Saccharomyces cerevisiae S288C: one gene and its partners. The gene in region 1 interacts genetically with each later gene. Each region holds a gene or a part of one and is shown in the gene's direction. Other genes may lie near its edges.

What was found.
Region 2: mutations in ECM33 (region 1) and DFG5 together harm fitness more than expected from each alone (negative genetic interaction), as found in Saccharomyces cerevisiae (2 studies listed by BioGRID).
Region 3: mutations in ECM33 (region 1) and GPT2 together harm fitness more than expected from each alone (negative genetic interaction), as found in Saccharomyces cerevisiae (2 studies listed by BioGRID).
Region 4: mutations in ECM33 (region 1) and ERS1 together harm fitness more than expected from each alone (negative genetic interaction), as found in Saccharomyces cerevisiae (2 studies listed by BioGRID).

The regions. Positions count from the first base shown.
Region 1 is NC_001134.8:391,586-395,289, forward strand, and holds ECM33 (Ecm33p), read left to right. Parts: upstream 1-1,537; coding exon 1,538-1,595; intron 1,596-1,925; coding exon 1,926-3,157; downstream 3,158-3,704. Other genes in the region: SLM4 (Slm4p), read right to left, coding at 220-708. UniProt on the Saccharomyces cerevisiae protein: Required for proper cell wall integrity and for the correct assembly of the mannoprotein outer layer of the cell wall. Important for apical bud growth.
Region 2 is NC_001145.3:744,343-748,234, forward strand, and holds DFG5 (putative mannan endo-1,6-alpha-mannosidase), read left to right. Parts: upstream 1-2,010; coding exon 2,011-3,387; downstream 3,388-3,892. Other genes in the region: BCH1 (exomer complex subunit), read left to right, coding at 1-1,581. UniProt on the Saccharomyces cerevisiae protein: Required for normal synthesis of the cell wall.
Region 3 is NC_001143.9:566,214-570,649, forward strand, and holds GPT2 (bifunctional glycerol-3-phosphate/glycerone-phosphate O-acyltransferase GPT2), read left to right. Parts: upstream 1-1,704; coding exon 1,705-3,936; downstream 3,937-4,436. Other genes in the region: CCP1 (cytochrome-c peroxidase), read right to left, coding at 1-985; TRAPP complex core subunit BET3, read right to left, coding at 4,115-4,436. UniProt on the Saccharomyces cerevisiae protein: Dual substrate-specific glycerol-3-phosphate/dihydroxyacetone phosphate sn-1 acyltransferase, catalyzing the first and committed reaction in the de novo synthesis of glycerophospholipids and triacylglycerols (TAGs).
Region 4 is NC_001135.5:247,524-250,764, reverse strand, and holds ERS1 (cystinosin-like protein ERS1), read left to right. Parts: upstream 1-1,949; coding exon 1,950-2,732; downstream 2,733-3,241. Other genes in the region: deadenylation-dependent mRNA-decapping factor PAT1, read left to right, coding at 1-527; FUB1 (Fub1p), read left to right, coding at 720-1,472; EGO2 (Ego2p), read right to left, coding at 1,563-1,790; SOL2 (Sol2p), read right to left, coding at 2,855-3,241. UniProt on the Saccharomyces cerevisiae protein: Cystine/H(+) symporter that mediates export of cystine, the oxidized dimer of cysteine, from vacuoles/endodomes.

The DNA.
Region 1 (3,704 bases):
GAGAGGAAGATGAGGCCCTTATGTACGTGCATATATATGTGCGAGTGCACGAAAGTGCACCACGGCAATCCGCGTAATCAAGCTTATGTAAATGGCGTGTCTGCGTAAACTCTGTCCCTGCGAAAATGTGTTTATTTATAGACTGTTCGCATTGTTTTTTCCAGCCCCCATCCGGAGACGCATGAAAAGGTGTGGCCTCGATACATATTGTTAAACCCATCAACCTAGCTTGTAGCCAAACAAATCAGTCAACTCTCTCATAGCTCTTTCAATTTTAATTACCAGTAGTCCGTAAGGGAAGCTACCTTCCGCAATGAACAATAGCAAAAGGTCGCTATTGGGTATCTGTGCGACACAGGTATGTAAATCTTCCATTTCGTAAGTATATATTTTTGTCTTAAAGGAGTCGATTTCCACAGGGTAACAGCTATTGGAGTGCTGTTCCTCAGTATCGTTTTCATCCTCTGACCACTTATCCTTAATCAATAAGCTCATCATTTTCAAGTTATTGACCGAGTTTATTTCGTTTATGGAATTTTTCGGTACATCGTTGTTTGACGTCGCATAGGACAGTATACCCCCATTAGTGGCGGTTATAATCATAGACGATTGCAAAGACGATGTCTTGAAGTCTACCGAATGCAAATCATACGGTTTCAAAGTGTTTTCCAGAAACCCTTTAACGTTTTTAGAATGGAGCATCACCATATTGCTTCAATATTTTGGATACCGTTTGCTGCTGATAACTGCCTTTTTTTTTTCTTCTTATCTTCCCTTAATTAATTCATTAGAGTCTTTTTAGCTTATATGCCAAATGAAGCAATTGTTTTTCTTTTTCTTCGTCTCTCTCTCCATATTCACCTGTTACCCAGAGGGCACCATTCATATCATTATCAACGTAAAATCTGCGAATTACCGTAAACCGCAAAAAAAAAAGGATGGCGGGCAGTATCATCCTTCACGACCCGGGTGGCTGCTGCGCCCTCGCGAAAAAGAAATGAAATGGAGTGCAAAAACGGGAAAGACGCGCCACCGTTTCTGGCCCACGCGCTCATTCTCAGTGGCCAGGCACTAGAGACAGGACTGAAACCGCGTTACCACAACAAACAAAGGCAACGTGCAGTAAACAACCATCCCTCCTGGGATCGAAATCAAAAGTACAAACCTCAGATCGAACTGAAAAATTTTCGGTAGCGTGCTTGAGCCGGTATAAATATTCAATGTCAAACACCTACGACTTTTCGCAATCAACGGACCTCTCTTGCATTTTTGTATTTAATATGTGAAGATCTTTCCTCTGCATTTTCTTTCCTTCTTTATCTTTCTTGGCTTTTCACCCTTTCTCTTCTTTTTAGAACATCATCTTTGAGTACTTCGGCCACTTTTAGAAAAGAAATTAAATAAAAGAGTTAATCGTTCATTCGCTTCTACACAGTTTAATCTTTTCCATTTTTCTTTCAACAAGTCCCTTTGAGCTATCAAGAATACGTTTATTTGACTTTTAAAGATCTAGTTTTAATTTTACTATTATTCCGCAATGCAATTCAAGAACGCTTTGACTGCTACTGCTATTCTAAGTGCCTCCGCTCTAGCTGGTATGTACACATTCTCCTTTTTTTTCATCTTTTTTTCTTTATTTGCCTCTTTCCTCACAAATCTCGAGTAGATTCGTGGTCCTCTTCATTCTTTTCTTTTTTCTTTGTCGATTACTGGGCTTTTTTTCATAGGTCTCGATTGACGCGGACGGACAATGCGAAAAAAAAAAATTTCCAAAAGAGGAAACGGGTTTCGAGATCTCGTGAGGATGGTTTTGGAATATTCTTCAATATTTCTGCCTGTCATAGGATTAGGGCGAGTAATGAAACAGAATAATACATGTATAAATCGATCGGGAATACTAACACTACTTTTCTTTATCTAAGCAGCTAACTCAACTACTTCTATTCCATCTTCATGTAGTATTGGTACTTCTGCCACTGCTACTGCTCAAGCTGATTTGGACAAAATCTCCGGTTGTAGTACCATTGTTGGTAACTTGACCATCACCGGTGACTTGGGTTCCGCTGCTTTGGCTAGTATCCAAGAGATTGATGGTTCCTTGACTATCTTCAACTCCAGTTCTTTATCTTCTTTCTCCGCTGACTCTATCAAGAAAATCACCGGTGATTTGAACATGCAAGAATTGATCATTTTGACCAGTGCTTCTTTCGGTTCTTTGCAAGAAGTAGACTCCATTAACATGGTGACTTTGCCTGCCATTTCTACCTTCTCCACCGATTTACAAAATGCTAACAACATTATTGTTTCTGACACCACTTTGGAAAGTGTCGAAGGTTTCTCCACTTTGAAGAAGGTTAATGTTTTTAACATCAACAACAACAGATATCTAAACTCTTTCCAATCTTCCTTGGAAAGTGTCTCTGACTCTTTACAATTCTCTTCCAACGGTGACAACACTACTTTGGCCTTCGACAATTTGGTCTGGGCTAACAACATCACTTTGAGAGATGTTAACTCTATTTCTTTCGGTAGTTTGCAAACTGTTAACGCTTCCTTAGGTTTCATTAACAACACTTTGCCAAGTTTGAACTTGACCCAATTGAGCAAGGTTGGTCAATCTTTGTCTATCGTCTCCAACGATGAATTATCCAAGGCCGCTTTCAGTAACTTGACTACTGTTGGTGGTGGTTTCATCATTGCTAACAACACACAATTGAAGGTCATTGACGGTTTTAACAAGGTTCAAACTGTTGGTGGTGCCATTGAAGTTACTGGTAACTTCTCAACCTTGGACTTATCTTCTTTGAAGTCTGTTAGAGGTGGTGCTAACTTCGACTCTTCTTCCAGTAACTTCTCCTGTAACGCTTTGAAGAAGTTGCAAAGTAACGGTGCTATTCAAGGTGACTCTTTTGTTTGCAAGAACGGTGCCACATCTACCTCCGTTAAGCTATCCTCTACTTCTACTGAATCATCCAAGAGCTCTGCTACATCTTCCGCTTCTTCTAGTGGTGATGCCTCCAATGCTCAAGCTAACGTTTCAGCTTCCGCTAGCTCTTCTTCCTCTTCTTCTAAGAAGTCTAAGGGTGCTGCTCCAGAACTTGTTCCAGCCACTTCATTCATGGGTGTCGTTGCTGCTGTTGGCGTTGCCTTACTATAAGATTAAAGCAACAATTTGTGTTTCTATTATTACTTTAATTTCTTCTCTAATGATTTCTTTACCATTCCTTTTTTATTATGAGACGGTTGGTTCATCACTGAATTTTATATGTAGATAAAATTTTAGTGTCGTTAATATCTCTTTTATTTCTTATTGTTACTATATTATTACTGTTTTGAAGTTCCAGTTTCATCAACTTTTGCTACCTTAATTAAAAGAACCACTCAGACTTTTTACCATCCTTTAGCTTTACCTAATATAATGAAATTTGTCTAAGTAACATAAAAAAAAGGAGTAAAGAAAAAAAAAAAATAAGTAAATGAAATAAAATATAAAAAAATTCTTACTACGGTTTAAAACAAAGTGCTCTTCCGCTAACGTTTCAAGTTTCTAAAGAATCGTTAGGGCCTTTTAACGGATCGCTTTTTTAAAACAGTAAAACGTTATTTATAGTTATTTATACCAACTATTTCTCGAAATTCGTTTTTAAAATAACTGCCATCTTTACTGCTCTTCTGCTCCTTCCTTTGACATGAAAAAGCAATCA
Region 2 (3,892 bases), on another chromosome or scaffold:
AGTGGTATTGTACGTGACATTATGATTATGAAAGATAATCGTGCGGATGGAGAATCCCAGAATTTGGTAGAAACACTAATTTTCAATCCATTTACCTCGGGTGAGTTGGAAGATGTTGCCAATAACTTTATTAAACTGTTCCCCTTGGTCTATGAAAAAGGTGTTTATTTAGATGCACCTACTCACGTTTTAAATCCCTCGTTAACCAATAATTATTTAGTGGAAACTTTAGTGGAAATAGTTAGGTTAACTAAGAGTTTGGAAGCATGTCGTAAAATGCTCAAGAAGTTAATAGAAATTCATCCAGAAGCAGTAATAATATTAATTCGTGTTTATTTTGCGTGCGATTTAGAGATAGATGCAGTTGACCTGATCAACGAGCAACTAAATTCCCCCTCTTCGTTCTTAGCCGACGATTCAAAGACTAGCCATATCCAGCTAATCTTCAAATCCGAATTATTAAGTATTCAAAGTGAATTCTTACTGGATGTCAAGAGAGATTACAAGCTTGCTAAGGAAGTAGCCATGGAGGCTGTTAACTGTGCACCAAACGAATTTAAAACTTGGTATTTATTGACTAGAATATACATTAAACTAAACGATATGTCAAATGCCTTGCTATCGTTAAACGCCTGCCCCATGTCACAGGTTAAGGAAAAATACGTTCTTAGAAGAATTGCGCCTATTACTTCAGATGAAAATCTTCATCTGCCATTACCATTGGATGCCTCAATTGAGGAGATTTCGTCATTGAACCCCATGGATGTCCAGTTGGAGCAAAAGTCCGCAGATCCAAACCTAGTCAATCTCTCTGCGTCAAGTTTAAAGTCTACTTTCCAACTAGCCTATAAATTATTGACAGAAATTGTCCAAATAACAGGATGGGAGCAGCTGTTGAAATATAGATCAAAAATTTTCGTTATGGAAGACGAGTACCAAGGCTCCACTTCTTCCATTGATGAAGCAGAAGTTCGCGGTAATGATATATCCAAAATGAGATCAAAGAGGCTATGCGAAAGATGGTTGGATAATCTCTTCATGTTACTATACGAAGATTTGAAAACTTACACCGATTGGCAATCAGAGCAATTGTATTTTGATGCTCAAAACAGTAAATATCACAAATTAACTGTTGAATGGGAATTATTCGGCCTTTGTGCGAAAAGACTGGGACATCTTCCAGAAGCTGCGAAGGCTTTCCAAATTGGGCTTTCCCAAAGATTTTCTCCAGTATGCGCAAAGAATCTATTACAGTTTTACATTGACGAGCATAAGCGTATTAGGAGGGATTCAGTCTCAGCAAACTCCGAGTTAACCTCTTCTCAAATATTGTCAAGTATCAATGACATCGACAGCTCAATCATCGATCTAGTAGTCAAGATTTGTTGCTGGAATCATCGTTGGTACATCGAGTTCTCAATAATATTAATAGATGCTCTGAGTGTTGCAGTACAAGATATGGGCATTACTAAAGTACATAATGAAATTGCCTCTAGATTTTCTGACCCAGTAGCCCAATTGATTGACGATAACATTCTAAATTTTCTGAAGAATTTCACGAATGACACTTTCGATAATTAGAAAAAGATGAATACAATCAATAAAAAGGTGAAAGAAATCAATTAACAAGAAACGGGTTATGTATTTTATGTATGATATCCTGGCATTGTCATGTATAGGTCACCTTCTTGGGGAATTTCCCATTTTCAAGTTATTCTGCCTCTAATGCGATAACCGTAATCTTAAATTGTTTAATTTCTTTTTCACAATCTGAGCCACGCCCGAAAAAAAAACAATGTAATCCGCGTAAAGCGAAACTGAGTATAACCCAAAAATAGAATGTAAATTAATGAAAAGCCCATTTCTCCAAAAGATCAGCTTTACTCAAATATCTAATTAAGTAATTGACTGTGTACATTGTCCTTTATCTCATTTTGAATCACCTTTATTAATTTTTGGTTGTTATATAGGACGAACAAATTAGAACGAAATCATATCCAGAACGCAGATATGATCGTCAATATTAGTGCGAAGATGATCTTATCGATATGCTTTACGTTTCTGTCATTTTTTAAAGCCACTCATGCCATGGATTTGGATACTACTAGCAAAACGTCAATTTGTGATGCGACAGCGTTAATTCAAGGTGGTATGCTGGATTACTATGAGGGTACTAGATACGGTGGTACCGTTGGGATGTTTCAGTCACCATACTATTGGTGGCATGCAGGGGAAGCATTTGGTGGCATGTTGGAAAATTGGTTTCTTTGTGAGAATGATACATATCAAGAATTACTATACGATGCACTATTAGCGCAAACTGGTTCCAATTACGATTATATCCCGTCCAACCAAACGATGGTTGAGGGGAATGATGACCAAGGTATTTGGGGTATTACTGTTATGGGTGCTGTCGAGAGAAATTTTACAGACCCCGGTGACGGCAAGCCAGGTTGGTTGGCAATGGTACAAGCTGTTTTCAACACCATGTACTCAAGATGGGATTCAGAGCACTGTGGCGGTGGTCTGAGATGGCAAATTTTCACTTGGAATAGTGGTTATAATTATAAAAATACAGTTTCAAATGCATGTTTGTTCCAGATTGCGGCGAGGTTGGGCAGATATACTGGTAACACTACATATTTGGAGGTTGCTGAACAGGTTTTCGACTGGCTAGTGGATGTCGGGTATGTGGTTCTTAACGATACTGCAAATGTCTTTGATGGTGCTGAAATTGATACAAATTGCACTGATATTACAAAAATTGAATGGACTTATAATCACGGTATCGTGCTTGGTGGTCTTGCATACATGTATAATGCTACAAATGGAACAGGTGAATGGGAGACCAGTTTGACAAAAATTCTAAATGGTGCTAAATCTTATTTCTTCAAAGATAGTATTATGTACGAAAGCGCTTGTCAAGACTATGGCACCTGTAACACCGATCAAAGAACATTCAAAAGTATTTTTTCTCGTATGCTTGGTCTTACAAGTGTCATGGCTCCCTTTACTAGGGACACAATTGATGATTTGATAAAAACAAGTGCTGAGGCCGCTGCAAAATCATGTAATGGTGGTACAGATGGGCATACATGTGGTTTAAATTGGCAGAAACAAACCAATGATGGCTACTATGGATTAGGTGAGCAAATGAGTGCTCTAGAAGTTATTCAAAATCTTTTAATTCATGACAGGCCAGCTCCATATAAGGAAGATAATGGCGGTACGTCAAAAGGTGACGCGAATGCCGGTATGAACTCATCGACCACTAACGTGCTACAAAACAATTTAAACATTAAGAAAGGTGATCGCGCTGGTGCCGCTATCATCACAGCAGTCATACTGAGTGTGCTAACTGGTGGGGCTGTGTGGATGCTGTTTTAAATGTGTCAAACTAGGCTCAAAAAAATTTTATTGTATTCTAATATTTAGGCTATCCTTTTCTTTCAGTAAAAATGTTTATGTGCTACATACAAAACCCTTCATGATCAAAAACTGATTAAAATTTAGAGAGGAACAATTGTTTTTAAAAAAAATACTAAAAAACACTCACGATGGGGGTCGAACCCATAATCTTCTGATTAGAAGTCAGACGCGTTGCCATTACGCCACGCGAGCTAGTCATATGTTTCTTTCGTCTTTTTCATCTGATGACATTCTAGTGGAACATTTATGGTAAGATACCGATTCCATTTTAAGGATTTCTATACCCTCGAGGAGAACTTCTAGTACATACATAATTTTATAGCTTTGACCAACAATGGAATCCCAAAAATTATCAAATTTTTTATCAAATATTCAAATATATCAAATATTCTAATGTTTTATAAACGTTTTATGAATGACATATATGCGATAATTATATGGCTAAAGAAAATCAATGCAAGTT
Region 3 (4,436 bases), on another chromosome or scaffold:
AATCCTTGAAGAACTTGTCCTGGTCATTAGCGTATTCTTTCACAATGCTTAAGTACTTGGGATCCTGAATCAAAGAATAATCAGTGGGCAGCATCATGTAGCCGCTCTTAGAGTCCCACTGTTCGTTGTTCGCGTCGTTCTTTTCCAATTTCCAGTCTTCATTCAGCAAGTTCAAGTAAAACTCATTGGTAAAGACGTTGTTAGCGGCTCCCCATGGCCCTTCGTATCCAGAGTTCTTCAAGTGGGTCTTGCCCAGAGCGTGAGCCCCCATAAGAGCAACTACTTCTCTGTCATTCATATTAAGTCTTTGAAAAAATGTTCTGACATAGTCAGCGTCTTTATCAGCGTCAGGCAGTCTCCCGTTGTCAGGGGTAGTATCCTCTGGCGTGTCGACTCTACCACATCTCCATGGAATCTTGGGACCCTGCATTTCCTGCACGGCAGTGACACCCCCTAGACTGAACAGATCACCCGAGGAGATCCAGGGAAACTCTTTGTGAATGGGCTCCAGGAACTTGAAGCCATTCTGCAAGCCCGCATTGGATGGATCGTTAAACTCCTTTTTGAATCTGTATGTACCACCGTATGACCCGCCTGTATTGTCGTGCTTGTCCCAGGTCCCTGAAGTGTGCCAAGCAAGACGGACTAATACGGGCCCATAGCCTATATAGTTGTCATATTCGTCATCTTCCCTCAGCTTGAGTGCAATCGCATTGTACACCTTTTGGAAGTCCTCGTATGACCTCCCTTTTTCGACAGAGGCGACATGAACGAGCGGTGTAGTGGAAGCCAAAGCAGCTGCCTTCCCCCAGTTGTTCCATCCGTGGTTACTACCACCCCCGGGAGAAGACGATGATCTCTTTTGGGATTGCGAGTAAGCAAAAGTTGCAGCAGCAGCAGCAGCAGCAGCAGCGGAGAACAGGTAGAGAGACCTCTTATGGGCGGTTCTGCCCAGTGAAGGTAAAAGCCTAACAGCAGTAGTCATAATTGTAGATATACGTGTGTGTTTGCGTCTGCATGAATGCGAAATTCATGTTCTTGAGTTAGCGAGCGTGTACAATAGTCTCTGCTTAAGTACTTTTCGCTCCAGGGTCCTTTCCTAAATTGGTAACAGCCGGCTTGGGCCGGCCCCTGGATGCCAAGAGAGTCATATTACTCAGTACTCAGGACCAAATAACTCATCGCTGTCGTTGGTAAAGAAAACTACAAATCTGGGCCTGACCATGGTTTACGAAATTCCTGACAAAGCAGGATATTCTTTGGCTTTGGAATTTCCATTGGCGAGATCTAGCTGCGGGAGAAATCATCCCGACATTATGTAAGCTACATAGGTCGCTGAAGTGTAGTCGCCACACGGCAGCGCTAAATGATAACTAGTAATTGGTGTGGAGCGACCACATTTTCGCATCGATCCAAGCTCGTCTTTTGGCTTTCTTGGCTATTCTTACTAGTTATATTGAATTATTACAGCTCTTGCTGGAACACCAGTAACCCGCCGTTGCTCCGCATTTTCGAAGTAAATGGCTCACTTTGATTGTAAGGTTGAGAGGAGTAATAAAGAGGGGAGAGAAAAGAGGAGAGACCCTGAAGAAGTGGCAGCTTGAGTATAAGATAGTGTCTTTTCGTGCTTCGTCGCTAGAGCAAAATTCTACTTTCACATCTAATAAAGCCGATTAATCGATCAGTTATTGCTCCCTTTCCTTTATGTCTGCTCCCGCTGCCGATCATAACGCTGCCAAACCTATTCCTCATGTACCTCAAGCGTCCCGACGGTACAAAAATTCATACAATGGATTCGTATACAATATACATACATGGCTGTATGATGTGTCTGTATTTCTGTTTAATATTTTGTTCACTATTTTCTTCAGAGAAATTAAGGTACGTGGTGCATATAACGTTCCCGAAGTTGGGGTGCCAACCATCCTTGTGTGTGCCCCTCATGCAAATCAGTTCATCGACCCGGCTTTGGTAATGTCGCAAACCCGTTTGCTGAAGACATCAGCGGGAAAGTCCCGATCCAGAATGCCTTGTTTTGTTACTGCTGAGTCGAGTTTTAAGAAAAGATTTATCTCTTTCTTTGGTCACGCAATGGGCGGTATTCCCGTGCCTAGAATTCAGGACAACTTGAAGCCAGTGGATGAGAATCTTGAGATTTACGCTCCGGACTTGAAGAACCACCCGGAAATCATCAAGGGCCGCTCCAAGAACCCACAGACTACACCAGTGAACTTTACGAAAAGGTTTTCTGCCAAGTCCTTGCTTGGATTGCCCGACTACTTAAGTAATGCTCAAATCAAGGAAATCCCGGATGATGAAACGATAATCTTGTCCTCTCCATTCAGAACATCGAAATCAAAAGTGGTGGAGCTCTTGACTAATGGTACTAATTTTAAATATGCAGAGAAAATCGACAATACGGAAACTTTCCAGAGTGTTTTTGATCACTTGCATACGAAGGGCTGTGTAGGTATTTTCCCCGAGGGTGGTTCTCATGACCGTCCTTCGTTACTACCCATCAAGGCAGGTGTTGCCATTATGGCTCTGGGCGCAGTAGCCGCTGATCCTACCATGAAAGTTGCTGTTGTACCCTGTGGTTTGCATTATTTCCACAGAAATAAATTCAGATCTAGAGCTGTTTTAGAATACGGCGAACCTATAGTGGTGGATGGGAAATATGGCGAAATGTATAAGGACTCCCCACGTGAGACCGTTTCCAAACTACTAAAAAAGATCACCAATTCTTTGTTTTCTGTTACCGAAAATGCTCCAGATTACGATACTTTGATGGTCATTCAGGCTGCCAGAAGACTATATCAACCGGTAAAAGTCAGGCTACCTTTGCCTGCCATTGTAGAAATCAACAGAAGGTTACTTTTCGGTTATTCCAAGTTTAAAGATGATCCAAGAATTATTCACTTAAAAAAACTGGTATATGACTACAACAGGAAATTAGATTCAGTGGGTTTAAAAGACCATCAGGTGATGCAATTAAAAACTACCAAATTAGAAGCATTGAGGTGCTTTGTAACTTTGATCGTTCGATTGATTAAATTTTCTGTCTTTGCTATACTATCGTTACCGGGTTCTATTCTCTTCACTCCAATTTTCATTATTTGTCGCGTATACTCAGAAAAGAAGGCCAAAGAGGGTTTAAAGAAATCATTGGTTAAAATTAAGGGTACCGATTTGTTGGCCACATGGAAACTTATCGTGGCGTTAATATTGGCACCAATTTTATACGTTACTTACTCGATCTTGTTGATTATTTTGGCAAGAAAACAACACTATTGTCGCATCTGGGTTCCTTCCAATAACGCATTCATACAATTTGTCTATTTTTATGCGTTATTGGTTTTCACCACGTATTCCTCTTTAAAGACCGGTGAAATCGGTGTTGACCTTTTCAAATCTTTAAGACCACTTTTTGTTTCTATTGTTTACCCCGGTAAGAAGATCGAAGAAATCCAAACAACAAGAAAGAATTTAAGTCTAGAGTTGACTGCTGTTTGTAACGATTTAGGACCTTTGGTTTTCCCTGATTACGATAAATTAGCGACTGAGATATTCTCTAAGAGAGACGGTTATGATGTCTCTTCTGATGCAGAGTCTTCTATAAGTCGTATGAGTGTACAATCTAGAAGCCGCTCTTCTTCTATACATTCTATTGGCTCGCTAGCTTCTAACGCCCTATCAAGAGTGAATTCAAGAGGCTCGTTGACCGATATTCCAATTTTTTCTGATGCAAAGCAAGGTCAATGGAAAAGTGAAGGTGAAACTAGTGAGGATGAGGATGAATTTGATGAGAAAAATCCTGCCATAGTACAAACCGCACGAAGTTCTGATCTAAATAAGGAAAACAGTCGCAACACAAATATATCTTCGAAGATTGCTTCGCTGGTAAGACAGAAAAGAGAACACGAAAAGAAAGAATGATCAAAAAATAGAAAAATAAAAAAAAAAGCATTTGACAATGTTTGTAAATAATATAATATGAAAGTAACTACTGAACAAAAACATTAAGGATAACATTTCTACGTAGGAAAATAATGTATACCTAAATAACGACACCAATAATAACAAAAATCACGAAAAAAAAAAGCTTACATGTCCACTAATCTTCGCCGATCGGTATTTCGTCTTTTAAAATTCTATTTAACTTAACCTTGATCTCCGTCTGAGAGTCTCCTCTCAAGATATCCGACACAAACCAGACATCACAATCCAGCTGCACCATTTCAAGTGACCCTTTCAAAACACCACACAATATATTGGAATACCAGAGCGATTTCATAGCGTCCATGGGTAACTCCACAAAGTCAGCCAATGGGTTTTCATCCAAAATCAATGAAAAAGTATCCTTGTTATGCGACCAGTTCGTTATGTTGGGTGTGATGTTTAAAAATATTTTGAATGCACACTTACTTAGTACTTCG
Region 4 (3,241 bases), on another chromosome or scaffold:
CGTTCTTGACCACCTCCAAAATTGGTCTAAATTTGATCACCATTTTGATTTCTCGTGCCGCATTAATCAAGCAAGATTCATCAAGATCTAATATTCTTTCCTCTCCTGAAATCTCCACATGGAATGAGATTTATGATAAATTATTCACTTCATTGGAAAGTAAGATTCAGCTGATTTTCCCTCCAAGGGAATATAACGACCACATCATGCGTTTACAAAATGACAAGTTTATGGATGAAGCATACATTTGGCAGTTCCTAGCTAGTTTAGCACTAAGTGGAAAGCTAAACCACCAGAGAATCATTATTGATGAAGTACGTGATGAAATCTTTGCCACTATTAACGAGGCGGAGACCTTACAAAAGAAAGAGAAAGAATTGAGTGTATTACCTCAGAGGTCTCAAGAATTAGACACAGAGTTAAAATCTATTATTTATAATAAAGAGAAACTATACCAAGATTTGAATTTGTTCCTAAACGTTATGGGGTTGGTGTATCGCGATGGTGAAATATCAGAACTAAAGTAAGATTTTTCCTGTAATTTTAATGTACTTACGCATGTATTTTTTTTTCTCCCTTATTTTTTATTTCCTACCCTTTGTAGATCATTTATTGTATATGTTTTTATATAAGTTTATATAAGTTTGTTATCCTTTTTTTTTCATAAAAAACCCGTATTAGCATCAATAATACCACCATAGTAACGCAAGAGTTAAACAATGATTGAGAATAAGGTTGAACTGGTAGCAGAACTAGTGTTGGAGTCCATCGGTAAAACTGAGGTGGTGTCACGCCATACAGAGGGAACCAAATCATGCCAAGTGAGTTTTCGCATTAAAGATTCTCCCAGTGAGAAGGGTTCAACATCGTTTCTCTCTGAGCTAGTGGTGATTCAGACTCTGGATGACAATGACAAGTATACTGTTGTTATTCGTCATGGTACGTCGATCACCATGGCATGTGTGGTGGGTTACAGCGATTTTAAATTGCCCACAGAATTGAAATGGCCACTAGAAAGAGAAAGCTTACCTGTGGAGCCAGACCTGAAACCTATAATGACACAACTTAAAAGACAAACTGCAGGTAGTGCGGACATGCCAAAATTTGACGATGAGTACCAGGCACAAGCAAGACAAAACCAGGGAACAGCACCGTTGAACCCATATCCCGGACTTACGGTAACTGAACCGAGCTTCGCTAACCCAGCAGGAGGGTATGCGGATGGTGATCTGTATCCTGTTGGCACAAGCCATCCGGATTGGTCTGGAGGGCTTCCCAATCCTCTGGGGAATCCAAGTAGCCAAGGCGGTATGATTTTCGATCCAAATAGAAGACCTGCCCCAAGACGGGAAGATATGCCGCCAGGATGGATGCCTGGATCCAAGTACGACGAACCATTTGGTCCTGGATCTGGCGGATTTGGAGGTTCAGGATCCGGCGGATTTGGAGGGTCAGGATCTGGCTTTATTTAAATGGGTGTTTATTTTAGTACTTTGTTTATTGTGATATTTAGTTTTTAGATAGTATACAGACATAGCTATGTCGAAAGGGAAGGAAAGAATTTATTGAGCGCTGGTATATACAGCTAAAGTGATATCATTGCGTTTGTACAGGTGTACGAGTAGCGAATCTCCTTGAACTTGAGCAAAACCTTCTGCATCCAGCGTAACTTTCGATAAATCACCGATATCTTCGATCCTTTGACTGCCCACGCCGGTAGACTCTATAACGTTACCGTGAGTATCGAAAGCAATGGTTCCCTTAATATCAGATTGTTTTTCCGCTTCCATCTTTGATTTGGTTTAGGTGATTTGGTTTGAGGTTGTGGTATTGCCCTTTAATAGCGGAATCCTTTATATTTTTTGATAATCTTGAAATTTTAAGGTGAGTTTCCATATGTAAACAAGGGAAGAAAAACTAAAAGCAAACAAAAGCAAACGCGAAGCAAAATGGTGTCGTTAGACGATATACTAGGTATCGTGTATGTTACGTCATGGTCGATATCGATGTATCCACCGATAATCACCAATTGGCGCCATAAGTCAGCGAGCGCGATATCGATGGATTTTGTCATGTTAAATACGGCAGGTTACTCTTACCTGGTCATATCCATATTTTTGCAATTGTACTGCTGGAAAATGACGGGTGATGAGTCTGACTTGGGCAGGCCCAAGTTGACGCAATTTGATTTCTGGTATTGCCTGCATGGGTGCTTGATGAATGTTGTCTTATTGACCCAGGTGGTAGCTGGAGCGAGAATCTGGCGATTTCCAGGTAAAGGTCACCGCAAGATGAATCCATGGTACCTAAGGATTTTACTCGCATCACTGGCCATTTTTTCACTGCTAACCGTACAATTTATGTACTCCAACTACTGGTACGATTGGCATAACTCAAGAACTCTGGCGTATTGCAACAATTTGTTTTTACTCAAAATATCGATGTCACTAATCAAGTACATCCCACAAGTGACGCATAACTCGACAAGAAAATCTATGGATTGTTTCCCCATTCAGGGTGTGTTTCTAGATGTCACTGGCGGTATCGCCTCGCTGCTCCAATTGATTTGGCAGTTGTCTAACGATCAAGGTTTCAGTCTGGATACGTTCGTGACAAATTTTGGAAAAGTGGGACTGTCAATGGTAACTTTAATATTCAACTTCATCTTTATCATGCAGTGGTTTGTATATCGATCTCGAGGCCATGATCTGGCGTCAGAGTACCCGCTGTAGCACACAAGGAGAAATCTGCATAATTACGCATATATATATATATATATATATACATAAATATACATAAATATATGTATGTATGTATGTATGTGTGTATGTATGTATGTACACACATGCATGGTTTAAATAGACAAACCTTGGTGGAATTTATACTTTTTTTTGGTGACGAGGACGTCCGTAAGAGCATCGTCGTCAACAAACCATGATACACGACCAGCAGCACCTTCGTTGACAATACTGCTAGGTAGGCCCTTTTCAGGCCTTTCCATAATGGTCTTGATGATGGGCGCCTTGGTTGCACCTTCGACAACGAAAGTAACCCTGTGAGAATGGCAGATTACAGGTATAGTCAGCGAAATTCTGGTCGAGGGCCCACTAGGAGCGTTCTCCACGGGCACCACCCATGCAAGTTTCTCACGTAGATTGTCCTGGAAGTTAGGGAAGAGTGATGCGATATGACCATCGGGGGCACAACCAAGCAGGAACAAGTCGAACATCGGAAGTTTGAC